Linked DNA regions of Drosophila melanogaster. The protein of the gene in region 1 interacts with the protein of each later gene in a pairwise test. Each region holds a gene or a part of one and is shown on either strand. Other genes may lie near its edges. The genes, in order: Tim17b2, IM33, CG17107 and Cpr60D.

What was found.
Region 2: the proteins of Tim17b2 (region 1) and IM33 interact in a two-hybrid assay, tested with the Drosophila melanogaster proteins (one large-scale study listed by BioGRID).
Region 3: the proteins of Tim17b2 (region 1) and CG17107 interact in a two-hybrid assay, tested with the Drosophila melanogaster proteins (one large-scale study listed by BioGRID).
Region 4: the proteins of Tim17b2 (region 1) and Cpr60D interact in a two-hybrid assay, tested with the Drosophila melanogaster proteins (one large-scale study listed by BioGRID).

What each region holds. Positions count from the first base shown.
Region 1 is NT_033779.5:15,482,761-15,486,059, reverse strand, and holds Tim17b2 (translocase inner membrane 17), read right to left. Parts: upstream 1,332-3,299; 5' UTR 1,224-1,331; coding exon 693-1,223; 3' UTR 515-692; downstream 1-514.
Region 2 is NT_033779.5:3,695,643-3,698,324, forward strand, and holds IM33 (immune induced molecule 33), read right to left. Parts: upstream 1,017-2,682; 5' UTR 957-1,016; coding exon 890-956; intron 830-889; coding exon 648-829; 3' UTR 576-647; downstream 1-575. Other genes in the region: CG3604 (uncharacterized protein), read right to left, coding at 1,731-2,129.
Region 3 is NT_033779.5:10,680,378-10,683,054, reverse strand, and holds CG17107 (uncharacterized protein), read right to left. Parts: upstream 1,090-2,677; 5' UTR 1,065-1,089; coding exon 774-1,064; 3' UTR 527-773; downstream 1-526. Other genes in the region: CG17105 (uncharacterized protein), read right to left, coding at 1,697-2,008.
Region 4 is NT_033778.4:24,662,159-24,665,277, forward strand, and holds Cpr60D (cuticular protein 60D), read right to left. Parts: upstream 1,163-3,119; 5' UTR 1,145-1,162; coding exon 1,133-1,144; intron 1,075-1,132; coding exon 805-1,074; 3' UTR 524-804; downstream 1-523. Other genes in the region: CG3663 (uncharacterized protein), read left to right, coding at 1-190; CG30161 (uncharacterized protein), read right to left, coding at 1,416-2,171; ND-19 (NADH dehydrogenase (ubiquinone) 19 kDa subunit), read left to right, coding at 2,393-2,521, 2,696-2,871, 2,935-3,025, 3,079-3,119.

The DNA.
Region 1 (3,299 bases):
CTGGGCTCGACTTCCCATCTTCCCACCGTCCATGTGTTGCTGGGAAATCGGCGTTGCCTTTGGTTTTTTGCCTTGCGGGGGAAAAGTTCTGATTTGAGTGCGCTCGAGACTTTCCAGCTAGGAGCAGGACATGTGGCCGGTAGCCAGTGCCACTCAGTACCTCACTCAGTCTAATGGCCAGAACACCGCGGTCATCTCGAGTGGACAGGTTGTAAAGTGGCCACACCCGCCGACCGGACACTTGACTCTATGCGCCGGCGCAGCATCGCAGGTAGTCATCTGGAACAGGTAAACATTTGCCAATATCTCACGCTGACCTATGACACGTGTCAGGTGTCTTTGTCGTGGATTCGGGCAAGTGTGAAACAACCTACTACCTGTTGAGGCAATAATGATTATGAATACGAATGAATTAACACGGAGAACGATAAGAGGGCCAATTGCATTTGTTCCTTCTTCCAAAACGAGCTGCAAACGGCAGCTAATTGTATTTTAATAATTATAAATCCGTGTTAAATTGTTTGAAATTTAATAAATTGGTTCCTTTGCAAAAACAGCTTAAATGGAAATACTGCAATTTTGTCCATATTTTATTGTCATCGAATTTTTCAAATGGAATATTGCTAAATCTAGCACTTATGAAAATCAAAAAGGACTACGTATTAATATACCCAGACAAGAAAAATCGGAATTTAGCTAGTTGCAGTGGCCTGCTGAGCACCCGGAAATCCAAATCCGGAAGAGTTGAAGTCACCGTATCCTTCATTGGCATCAGGCATGATATGCGGTTCACGATTTCGGAACTGTTCCGCCGCGAAACGTGTAAAAAATATGCCTAAGCCCTCGATCATTGAGAGCAGTACGCCACCGATAATTGCACTTCCAGCCATGGCCGCCGCTCCATTGCGTGAGGCCAGAATTCCACCAGTAACTGCTCCGCTCACTATCGAGTTCCAGGGATCCTCCTTTTGGCGAAAGTGGACCAGACTGCAGTCCACAATGCTGAACACTGCACCCCAGGCGGCGAAACTTCCACCTATCACCGGAGATTTGGTCTTGATGGCAGCCACACTGCCGGCGACCCTGCGTCCTAGTCCCTGTGGTGCGTTCCGGAATCCCTTGAGTCCCTGGAAGAGCCCGCCTCCAACGCAGCCCATGATAAAGGCTCCTCCGCAGTCGTCGACGATGCGATGGGGACACGGTTCCCGCGAATACTCCTCCATCTTTGCACTTTTCCACTGGCAGGATTTCCTATCACTGGCCGAAATTAAAAACTGAATTTGCTAAATTTCAAGCCTTCTGCTTATTTTCTACAAATGAGTTATATGTGACTTGGCGTCGCTCGATATGTATAAGGAAATTATGAGTTTTGTGTCTGTCAATTCCAGAGTTTGTTGTGAATTGTGCGACTAAGCTTGCTACATACCTAGTAGATTTAAAATCATGGAGAACATGTCCAGGAACTCAAATTTCAAACTACAGGTTGTAAGTAAGAAGTACTTGGTTTTGTTTGTGCCCCCACCAGACACCCATTAGCATATGAACCAGAGTCAGAGCAAACAGAGTCGCACGTGGATCGGGGATCTTTTGCCCCGAAGCTCAATGGCACAAAAAGGTTAAATAGCACAAATGTCGGACCGTAGTTAACCATAAAATTTACTGCCGCAGCTGGACAACTTCGGCTCGAGAATGGGGAGGGGACGGGGGATTGGGATTCGGATTGGGATGGGGATGGGGCCATTCGAAAGACGCAATTCGTACAAAGGCAAAGCCAGACGGTGGGAAACGGAAACAATGAGACCGATTGTCGTCGACCGATAAAGCCAAGCCGAACCAAACCAGAACTCCAGACCCAATACTATTTTATACTGCGTATGTCAAACTACTTCAGGAGGGAAGCTTACGATTGCATGCATAATTATCACGCGAGCATAATCGAAATTTTGAAACTGCCGCAACTGTGTTTGCTTAGCTCGAAAAAGGGGGAAGTCTTCGCATTCGGGCCCTCGATGGATATCTCCGCATAACAAGGTGTCAGACAGCAGTGACAAATGAAAGCGAAACCCCGATCGAAACCGAAATCGATGGGCAGGCATTTAAGTATGAGGGGACACCTGGACACACACGAAGCGCCAGTCCATTGTTCAACAGGACAAATCTCGTCAACTTGACATGTAAATCGTTAGAACGTGTTGCACTCGATTGATTGCTCTCACTCCCGAGAAGGTTATCGGGGATCATTTGACGGGAAATGGCTGCAGGATAAGACATTATATATAATTTGTAAATGTAAATACTGGGCATATTGTTTGCCACTGCTGCGGGATTTCCAATGAAATCTTCATTTCCACGGTAATTGTTGTCGCTTATAAATGATTTAGATGGGATTAGATCGATGTGGTGTTAATGTGGGCACATTATGCGAAAGGATTGGCCATTCCGTTCTAGGACGCGATCCGACCATGGGTTTCCCACGAATTCCGGAGATTCGAGCCTTACAGTTTTCTGGGAAGTCACAGGCCAAATGGAATTGGCCTACTAGCCCATTTAGTAATTTTATTAACATTATTTGTTGTTAAAATACCAACGTATTATGTGAAATTAAAAAAACTGCAGTTGTCTTTGGATACAGAACAATTTAAAACCATATTCAAAATTTTAAGAACAGCATTCTACAACTGTAAATCGAGCTCCACAATGTACGCTACAGAAATGCAGGTTTGGTAATCTATTGTGGCAATGTTTTTTAAAACAATAATGATTATGTAAACAGTAAAAACTCAAAAATTATAATATCGAACAGATATGATCTCTAAAACGGTTCCGTTTTCCATCTTCCGATCTCCGAATGCTCCGTTAGAGGCCAGTGTTTGGGCAGCTGTGATGCAACATTTTGTTATATCTTAAGGAATATGCATCTGCATAACCCACTACAAAGGGAATCCAGAACGGAACTCATTTGCCCGCTCGAAGAGAATCCCTGCACATGCCAAAACGCCAGCCAGAACAAAGGGGGCGAAACAATTGCGGTTGCATTACCCCAGCAGTCCAATTCAAATTCCGACAGCCTCCAGCCGGGCAATGAAATTCAAAAATTCAAAATCAAAGGGCAGGCCTGAGTCGACAAAGGATGTGACTCAGGTAGGACCCCGGGCCTGCCGCCAAAAAAAAAAAAGAAATGCTGAAAAATCTCGAATGGTGCACTATTGTTGTGTCCTGTGCCCTGACTGTGATTACTCGTATTCCGATGTCGATCATAAATGCGGTAGTTTAATGCACTCTAAGAAACCAGTATTTGC
Region 2 (2,682 bases), about 12 Mb from region 1:
CATCACATTATAATTGTTGTATCATATGAAATATACAATGAGCTCAACAAGTGTTGTAATTATGGATATGTTCTCTTATCGATAGGAACAACGGGAAGTGTCATACTTACAACGGCCATGGCGAAAGCTCCGTAAAATATTTCATTTCATTTGATAGGTCCATTTCGTAAGTGTTTAAAAATTCCACTTAAATGTTTCAGTTGTTCGTTGGAACCCCTCTTTTTACTATAATATAATAAAAAAAAGACACTCAGAGAAAAATCCGTTTTCAACCATCTCGATTTGACAATTTCGACCCCAAAATCTAGCTAAGATTGAATAATGCTCACCATACTCAGATTGCAAATGACTTTGCTCTCATTTGCCTTCCTCTCTCAGTTTTTCAACCTTTCCCTTCCGTCTGAAAATATCAACATTCAGATCGTTTTCGTCTCGAAATCGAAGGTTAATTCTCAATTTTTCTGGGTGTACTTTTTTCTAGTCTCTTAATTAATTCAGCAACTTAAACTTTGCCCGATAGTGCGATCAAAACGAACCTTGTTTTTTTCTTTATGTGATGTAAAATGAGGTAAGTTATAAAGAATCGTCCAAAAAGTTATTTATCGAAAATCATTTATTGAATATTTTGTAGAGCATAGAGGTCAAATTTATTCCTTGCACTTTTGTTCGCAGAGCTCCTGGGTTCCAAATCGGTTCTCATTGCCGCCGCATCCGCCGTAGATGAACTTTTCACACGAATTGGTTTCGGGATGATAACTGAAGCTGGGTATAAAAGCGGCACACTTGATGAGACCATTGCCATCAATACCAGCGGGCAGTCCACAGATAGCTAATAGATTGAGAATGTGAATTAGAATGGTTTCGATTTCCTGAGCAGCTCCCAACTTACGATCCTTGAGGCCGAGGGCCACAGCCACCAGGGCGAACATCAAACAGACGGCAGCAATGAATTTCATACTGATTGCGATTTTGAAAACTATGTATATCTCCCAGCTTCCGTGGAACGACTAATGGAAATCGGAGGTGTAGCACTAGGTTATATACGCCATGCCGATCGGCAGATGGGAACTACATATTGGCTGGGGATCTTATCTATATGCTCATGAACTTTCGGTTCATTAACGAGTGCTCGTGAATTTGGTATATAAACAGACGAGACTTCGAGTACTATGTGCTAGTGCTAGTGTTTGTACTGAAAATAATGCCGGAATAGCAAATAAATCTAGGAACTACGTTCTGAATAAAGTAAACACGATTAGGCAGCGATTTGTCATTCGGAAGTGGGTTTGTCCGATTTTTTCCCAAATTTCATTTATTTCCTCTTTTGCTTGTATAATATATTTATACATTTCGTTTTCAGAATCTTTGCGATATAAGTGCATTATAAAAGTAGTCATATTTTATCAAAATTACTGTTTACACTGTTTAGTTCCCAAGATTAATTAAAATCGTCTATTCATGACTCAAGTTTTTGTGAGTCCGTCGGGTTTCGAAATTAATGACTTTCCGAGATGTACTGCTAACCACTTCTGACACTTACAAATGTATCTACATACTGTACTGCTAGTACCAGATGTGCGAATAAAACGAAATAGATATATAAATCACAATGGTATATTTATTAAAATTTATAATCAAATTATTCAAATAATCAACTCAGTAAAGAAATGCTTTTAAAAGGCTGATGAAGTTGGATGACAAATAAATTACAAACTAAGAACTACAATTTTTTAAGACGAGGTGCTAGTTTCTGTGGCCACTTCGCTGTTTTGTTCGGTTGTTGAGTCCGTGGAGGAAACCGCAGACTTTACCAAACATGCCTGTTCGCACTGCTCCTTGGATTCGAAGTTGTTCTTGTTGCCGGCACATCCACCGTAAACGAACTCCTCGCAGGATTGTGTATCCACGTTGTAGGCGTAGCGATAGAACAGAGCGAAACAGCGACCGGTTTCCTTGGGCTGATGACAGTCCTCCGGAACAGTGAGCTCACTGGCATCAGGCAGGGGTTTGGCCACCGCGGGCTCCTCCGCCTTCTCCACGACGACATCCGAGGGAGCTGCACGAATTCCGGCTGCCAGGAGCAGAACAGCCGCGAATACTATGAAACTGAAGCTATATCTAAAGCACATTTCGAGTCCGTTGAGTGGATGATGAGCGAATGATTTCGGCTCGCTCGGATATTGCGGCTTAAATACTATCCGTCCGAACTGATTAACTCACGTACTACTATACTCACTCAACTGGGTTTTTGCCCACCGTTTTGCCTCTTTTTGTGTACTTCATTTATCGGAGCGCCAGCTTGTTTGTCCAACTGATTCGTCGCCGCATGTAAATCACGGCGGTGCCTCTCTGACGTCTATATCCACGTCCATATCGATATCACCTGGCACTGACAGCTCTCGGAGAAGCTTTCGCGGCCCAACCTTCAATTGCAGATCAACGCACCAACGCAAGTCAATCATAATGCTGGCCATAAAATCATATTCCAAGTGGCTTCCGTATCGGTGTGACAATTTTAGTCAGCCAAATCACGTTTAGCGAGCGGAATGGGAATCTAACTGAATTACCTATAAACTGGTTAACTGTCGGTTGAAGTTTTTTGTGTATCTAACGAATGGGGTAAGCTTTGGAGCTTCAGAAGAAATGAATAAACTGTCTGGTTAAGAAATGTTCCTAATAATC
Region 3 (2,677 bases), 4.8 Mb from region 1:
CATTCTAATAAGCCTAGCATACCCTATTACTGTACGATTAAGGGGTATAAAACTAGTTTTATTTCGGAAAGGTTTGGCTACCGTAAACGTAGAAACTTATCCAGATGTTGATAATTTGCAAATTTAAATATTGCAAACCCGAGTTTTAAGAAGCTTGACAATATATCAAGAGACGTCGGACTTCATTTGTGAAAAAATATCTTCGATTTATTAGACCTGCTGAAATTGAGTGTGTCACTCCGTAAGTGGCCAAATTCAAGACTTGTTGTGGGTGGCAAATGCAATTACTTAATTACATAAAAAAAGTAATCACACAAAAAAAAAAAACTCACAAATTGTTTGGATTTCCGGGTAAGCTGTACAAACAAATGATGAATGAAATGAGCTTAATGATTTTAAATATAAAAATAAATTAAATTAAAATTGAGATGCACTAACTATTTGCAAAAACTATATATATATAATGCATACTTTTCAGTTGTAATTCAAGTTGTTAGATACATTTTAAAACATAGTTTCTAATATTAGCTCCCGCTGTTAACTTAGTCTGTTTTTAGGAGGCTAGAGAAATCTTGTTTGACGTCATTAGATCTATAAATAATGCCCGACTCATAAACTGGTTATTAACCTAATATACGAAAACAACATCTTGGATTTCCAAAAACAGAATTAGCATTTTAATATTTATTGGTATTGGTATTGGTTTCAGTTTAGTAGGTCTGTCAGCGGACGTGCCCACTTTTCGAGAGTACAGTTATGAATCCGTTTCGAGCCTATCCATGTCTGCCATGTCCACCTCCACCTCCTCCGGAGCTGGCGTTGGCGGTTGCAGTGGCCGAGGCCGAGGCGGAAGCTGGGCCGCCTCCTCTGCTGTCGGCGGTTGCAGCGGCATTCGCGTTGGCAACTGCGTTCGAACCGCCGACTCCACCGACTCCACCGCCTCCACCGCCTCCACCGCGACCACCGCCACCACCGCCTCCACCGAATCCGCCGAATCCACCAGGATGTGCCTGAACGGCCACCAGGGCGAAGATTAGAAAAATGCAGATAGCCAGGAACTTCATCGTTAGAGATTGCGATGTTTTGTGATCGCGTGCTGGCCTCTTTTATACCAGCATCCGTGACAGGTGGACGACTTGTTTATCTGAAAAACAAAAAAAATCACAGAATCGATATTGTATCGGCATATATATGGGGGCTTCGATTAGCACATTAATTAGACATATATTAAAAACGCATGACGTTTAATATTACCTATATGTATAGTATATGCTTATATACTATGTTATCAATAATTGAAAACTGGTTAGCTTTGGCAAGCCATGTTTTGGTAAAGTATATTTTCAGGCTGTAAAAAAGCTCAGATAAATTCATTATGATAATCAGCTATAAAAACTAGTTTATCATGTAAGTCCTTAGATTTGCTTCTGTTTACACATTTTATACAAAATTCCTTTTCCGGTGATTACAACTTTTGAACCCGAAAATTATATATATATTCTTCACTTAATAAATAATAATTAAAAATTAATAAATTTATATTTATAGTATATTATACATAGAAGGTAAGGCCATTGTGTTGATAACGTTTGGCAAAAGTAATAATAGAAAAATGTCTTAGTCTTTATGCAATAATTATGCATTTGTTTATTTTTTAAAGCAATTGCCGTTTCTGGACTGCTGTTATCATCATTCCTTATCCGTAGTAAGCACCCGGACTGTAACCAACTGAGTTTGCGTTTGCATTAGCGTTGGCAGTGGCTACTGCGCCTCCACCACCACCGCCGTAGCTACCGGGTCCGCCGTAGCCACCGAGTCCTCCGTAGCCACCGGGTCCTCCATAGCCACCGGGTCCTCCGAAACCAACGCGTCCTCCTAAGCCGCCAAGTCCTCCCAAGCCACTGAGTCCACCGTGTCCTCCGTGTCCAAAGCCACCGTGTATACCAGGATATCCTTGGACTGCCACAATGGCAAGGAGCAGGATAGCGCAGAGTGCATATAATTTCATCGTGGGATGTCCCACTATCCTGTGTTTTTTTTTTTTCGTATGACAACTTAATTTCCATAATGAAACAAAGAAAGCAAAAATAAGTCTACTTAACTTGTTAACAATGGTTAACTAGAGCTTAAATATATAAGTGGCATAGTTTTCGGCTGTAACAGAAGTTGTTTTTATTTTCTGCGAATGAAGCTTTTATAGCCAGAGCTTACTGTAGCAAGCATACAGTGAGAAATATTTGCGAATCTTTTTGTTTTACAAATCAATCTACTGTAGTAATTTGGGTCATTAAATGTCCAGGATAAATTTATTCATAAGCAAGGAAAATGGAGAGATAGAGAAATTACTTCAATGTTATGATAGAAATAACTAATCTATTAATTTCATTTCTGCAATTGTGGTTACCATCTTAATATATATATTTTTCTTCATCCCGTTAAGCTTATGACTAACTGCCTGATATCGGTACATCCCACGACCTAGAGCTTACTAAGTCAGTTGGCTTAGTAAATAAAGGCCAGTTAAGTGGCCAAAAAAAAAAAAACCCGTATCGCCAAAACCTTCGATCCGCATTCATTCGAACCATATTCAACATGCAGTTTAGCGACTGCCGCTCAAGTTCAAATGGAAATTAGCGCTTGGTGTTTGTTTTATAGCCGATTGCTTTCAAATTCCATC
Region 4 (3,119 bases), on another chromosome or scaffold:
TCTAGCCCTGGATCGCCTGCGTCAAGCGGGCTGTGTGATCACCACTAGTGAGAGCGTTATCTTCGACTTGGTTCGAGATAAGAACAACCCCAAGTTCGATGTGGTCCGGAAATTGGTGAACCAGCCGTCGGTGGATATGGAACTCACGCGCAACGGGAGCGGAGTGCCAGCGGGCAGTGCCAAGCTGTGAGATAGCCCCTCCTGTCTAAATATCTGTTTGTTATAAAGCCAATTGCATTTATAAAACCATCATGCAGAATTGTGCTTTTCAAGGATACGCGGATGGGAAATGGGCCGAATGGGCCGAATGGGAGCAGCACCCATTTAAGTTGTCATTTCCGTAACATATTCCAATGGCCCCGCACAATGGGCGAGTCCATATTTGAATTTGCCGTTTAACAATAGCCCCAATGGCTTCCCTTCCGGTGAGTTCCCCCACTTTGCCCCATTTCCGCTGGGTTCCTTATTATGCGGATGACAATGCGTATTTTATGCCGCCTGTCGGCATTGATTATAAAGCTGAGTGCTGTTCGGTAACCTTTTATTTGTGCAGCAGTGTGGGATGAGGAAATCATCATCATTCCACATGACCCATTCAGGGGCTCTGTAAGCGCAATGTCTAATTGGACAGACCCTTGGATGAAGATGCTGAAGCGCTCTATGAACTGTAGCCCAACAGCTCTCAATATGAGTTCTACCAGGGGAACGTTTTATTGGAACAACAAGACATTACCTCACCACTCATTTTATGGAAAAAACCGCCGTTTTATAAGTTAAGATTAACATAACATCAAAGTCACTCGGTCACTCTTCAACCTTCGGATGGAAGCCGGTTGCATCTGCGGTGTAAGTCACGCGAATTTGCTTGCCATCTTCGCCGGGAAGGAAGTATTCGCCCTGGATGCCGTTCACATTGCCTTGAGCTTTCACTTGGATCCCATTGCTGACCGTGATCTCATGCTGGAACTGCCCAGCTCCATCCAGGTTCTGGCGGTTCTCCGACTTCAGAAGTTGCGCCTGCAGATCCTCCTCACTGCAGCTGGCCAAAACGACGAAAAGGGCAAAGATAAGGCTCTGAAATTGAGAGGTGGCTGATTATCCAATAGTCTGTTTGAAATCCGATTAAACTCACATATTTCAGCATTTTGGAGCAGCTTCTTGAAATGAAACAATGCCCGTCGGCCTTTTATACTATACTCCGAAGCTGCCTAGCCCACTAAACGGGTTTCAATCGCATCTGCTAATGAAATGACTGAGATTAACCAGACAGCCATGAATATGAAATTTGCGGCTACTCAATCGAGTCTGCTTCTGGCACCAGAAGCAGGCCAGCCTCCCCCAACTAATTGATTGCGATTTTGTTAACCCATTTTGCTACTAAAAGAACATTTAATCATCAACAATGAATTTGAAAACTATGCGCCCGCGGCCTTCGGAAGGATTTCTTGTGCAGGCTTGGAATCCCAGTCTCTATACCTAATTTCTGGATTGCTCAGAATCTTGGCCACACCCTTCAGAAAGCTTGGCTTACTGATAGTGGTTTTTCTCACAGAATCGTTGCTTTTCTTTTCCAAGGCATGCGGTATAAGTGAGGAAAAATTTAGAGATGCCTCGTTAGTAAGTGTCCCATCTGAGGATTCAATTGGCAAGAGAGACATCCCCTTATTTCGCTTGTTGTTGAACTTCTCGAGATATTTCTTGGCACCCAAACGGGCGGATGTCTTTAAAGCATTCATATCCCAGGACACTCCCAGCTTGGATTTGATCTCCTCGGAGGCAGTCTTGTCGTTCGAAGAGAACAGCGTTTGGAACATCTTCTTCAGCTCGAGGTCCTTGGGATCTTGTAGCGATCGGACTGCCCGCGGATCAATCTGCCCAATGGAATTGTCTTGGCTTTTGGTTTCCGCCTCCCGCTTGGAATCCTTGTTCAGCTCAACTAAGTCGTTTAACGACAATTTGGGGTCCAAGTTCCCTTGCAGCTGCTGGAAATCCATTTCGGGCGCATCCTTCGGCAGGTAGCCGCGGCTTTTCAGGTAAACTAGCGGCGACTGCCAGTTGTCGATGAGGTTCTTAACAATGGTGTCAACCGAATTCTCATACTTAACTACTTTTAAATTGCGATCAGCTGCAGCACTATAAAATAGACAGATGTATAAGATTAAAGAAATCATTTTAATTTAAATTGTGAGCCTGTTATCGATGACTTTGTGAAACGGCTACACTATCGATATAAATTGTTATTGACAGCTACGTCTCAGCAGCCCTGGATCTAAATCAGCTGTTGTGTTGTAAGCAAACGTAAAATTAACAAAATCCTACAATTATTTTGTTTTTTATTGAATTTCATAGCCTTTCAGGTTTTTGGTTGATCGCACAGGACTGCAACGCTATTATGGTCATCACCAACAACACAACACTGCCCGAGGAGTCGGAGCTGAACGTCCAGGAGCTAAATCTATCGTCGGCGGCCTTACGGGCAGGCGCCTTCCATTTGGGCAAGCAATGCGAGCAGGCCAATAATGTTAGTACATCCAGATTGCAGGGGAATCCTCCTGATAGTAATGCTTAGGTGAAAAGCGCCTTAAAGTGAAGCTGGGAGCCGCTGCCTCTTTAAAATCCGAGCGGCTTAGTTATATAACCTAACCTCAAAAAGCACCTTCCCCGTTTGTTTACCTTTTCCTTCGTGTAATTTCAGGAGTTTATGCTGTGCCGGCAGGAGCTGGATGACCCGCGAGCCTGTTTGGCGGAGGGCAAAGCCGTGACCAGCTGCGCCCTGGACTTCTTCCGCAAGGTGAAGAAGACCTGCCATGAGGAGTTCACGCAGTACGCCACCTGCCTGGATAAGAGCAGCGGTACTATGGCTTTTTCACAGTAAGCACTCCGTAAATGTTGAATATTCCAATCATGCTATACCAATGTCCATCCATACTTTAGTTGCCGCAAGACCCAGGGAGTGTTCGACAAGTGTATCAAAGATAACTTCGACTGGGATCGTCCCTCCTATGGATACTTCTCGAGGGCCAAGGTAATTTCTCGGCATGCTTTATTTAGACCTCTCCTAATCACTTCTGTTTTCAGGTCATCCAATCAGCTCGGGAAGCACCCAAGAAGGAGGAGAA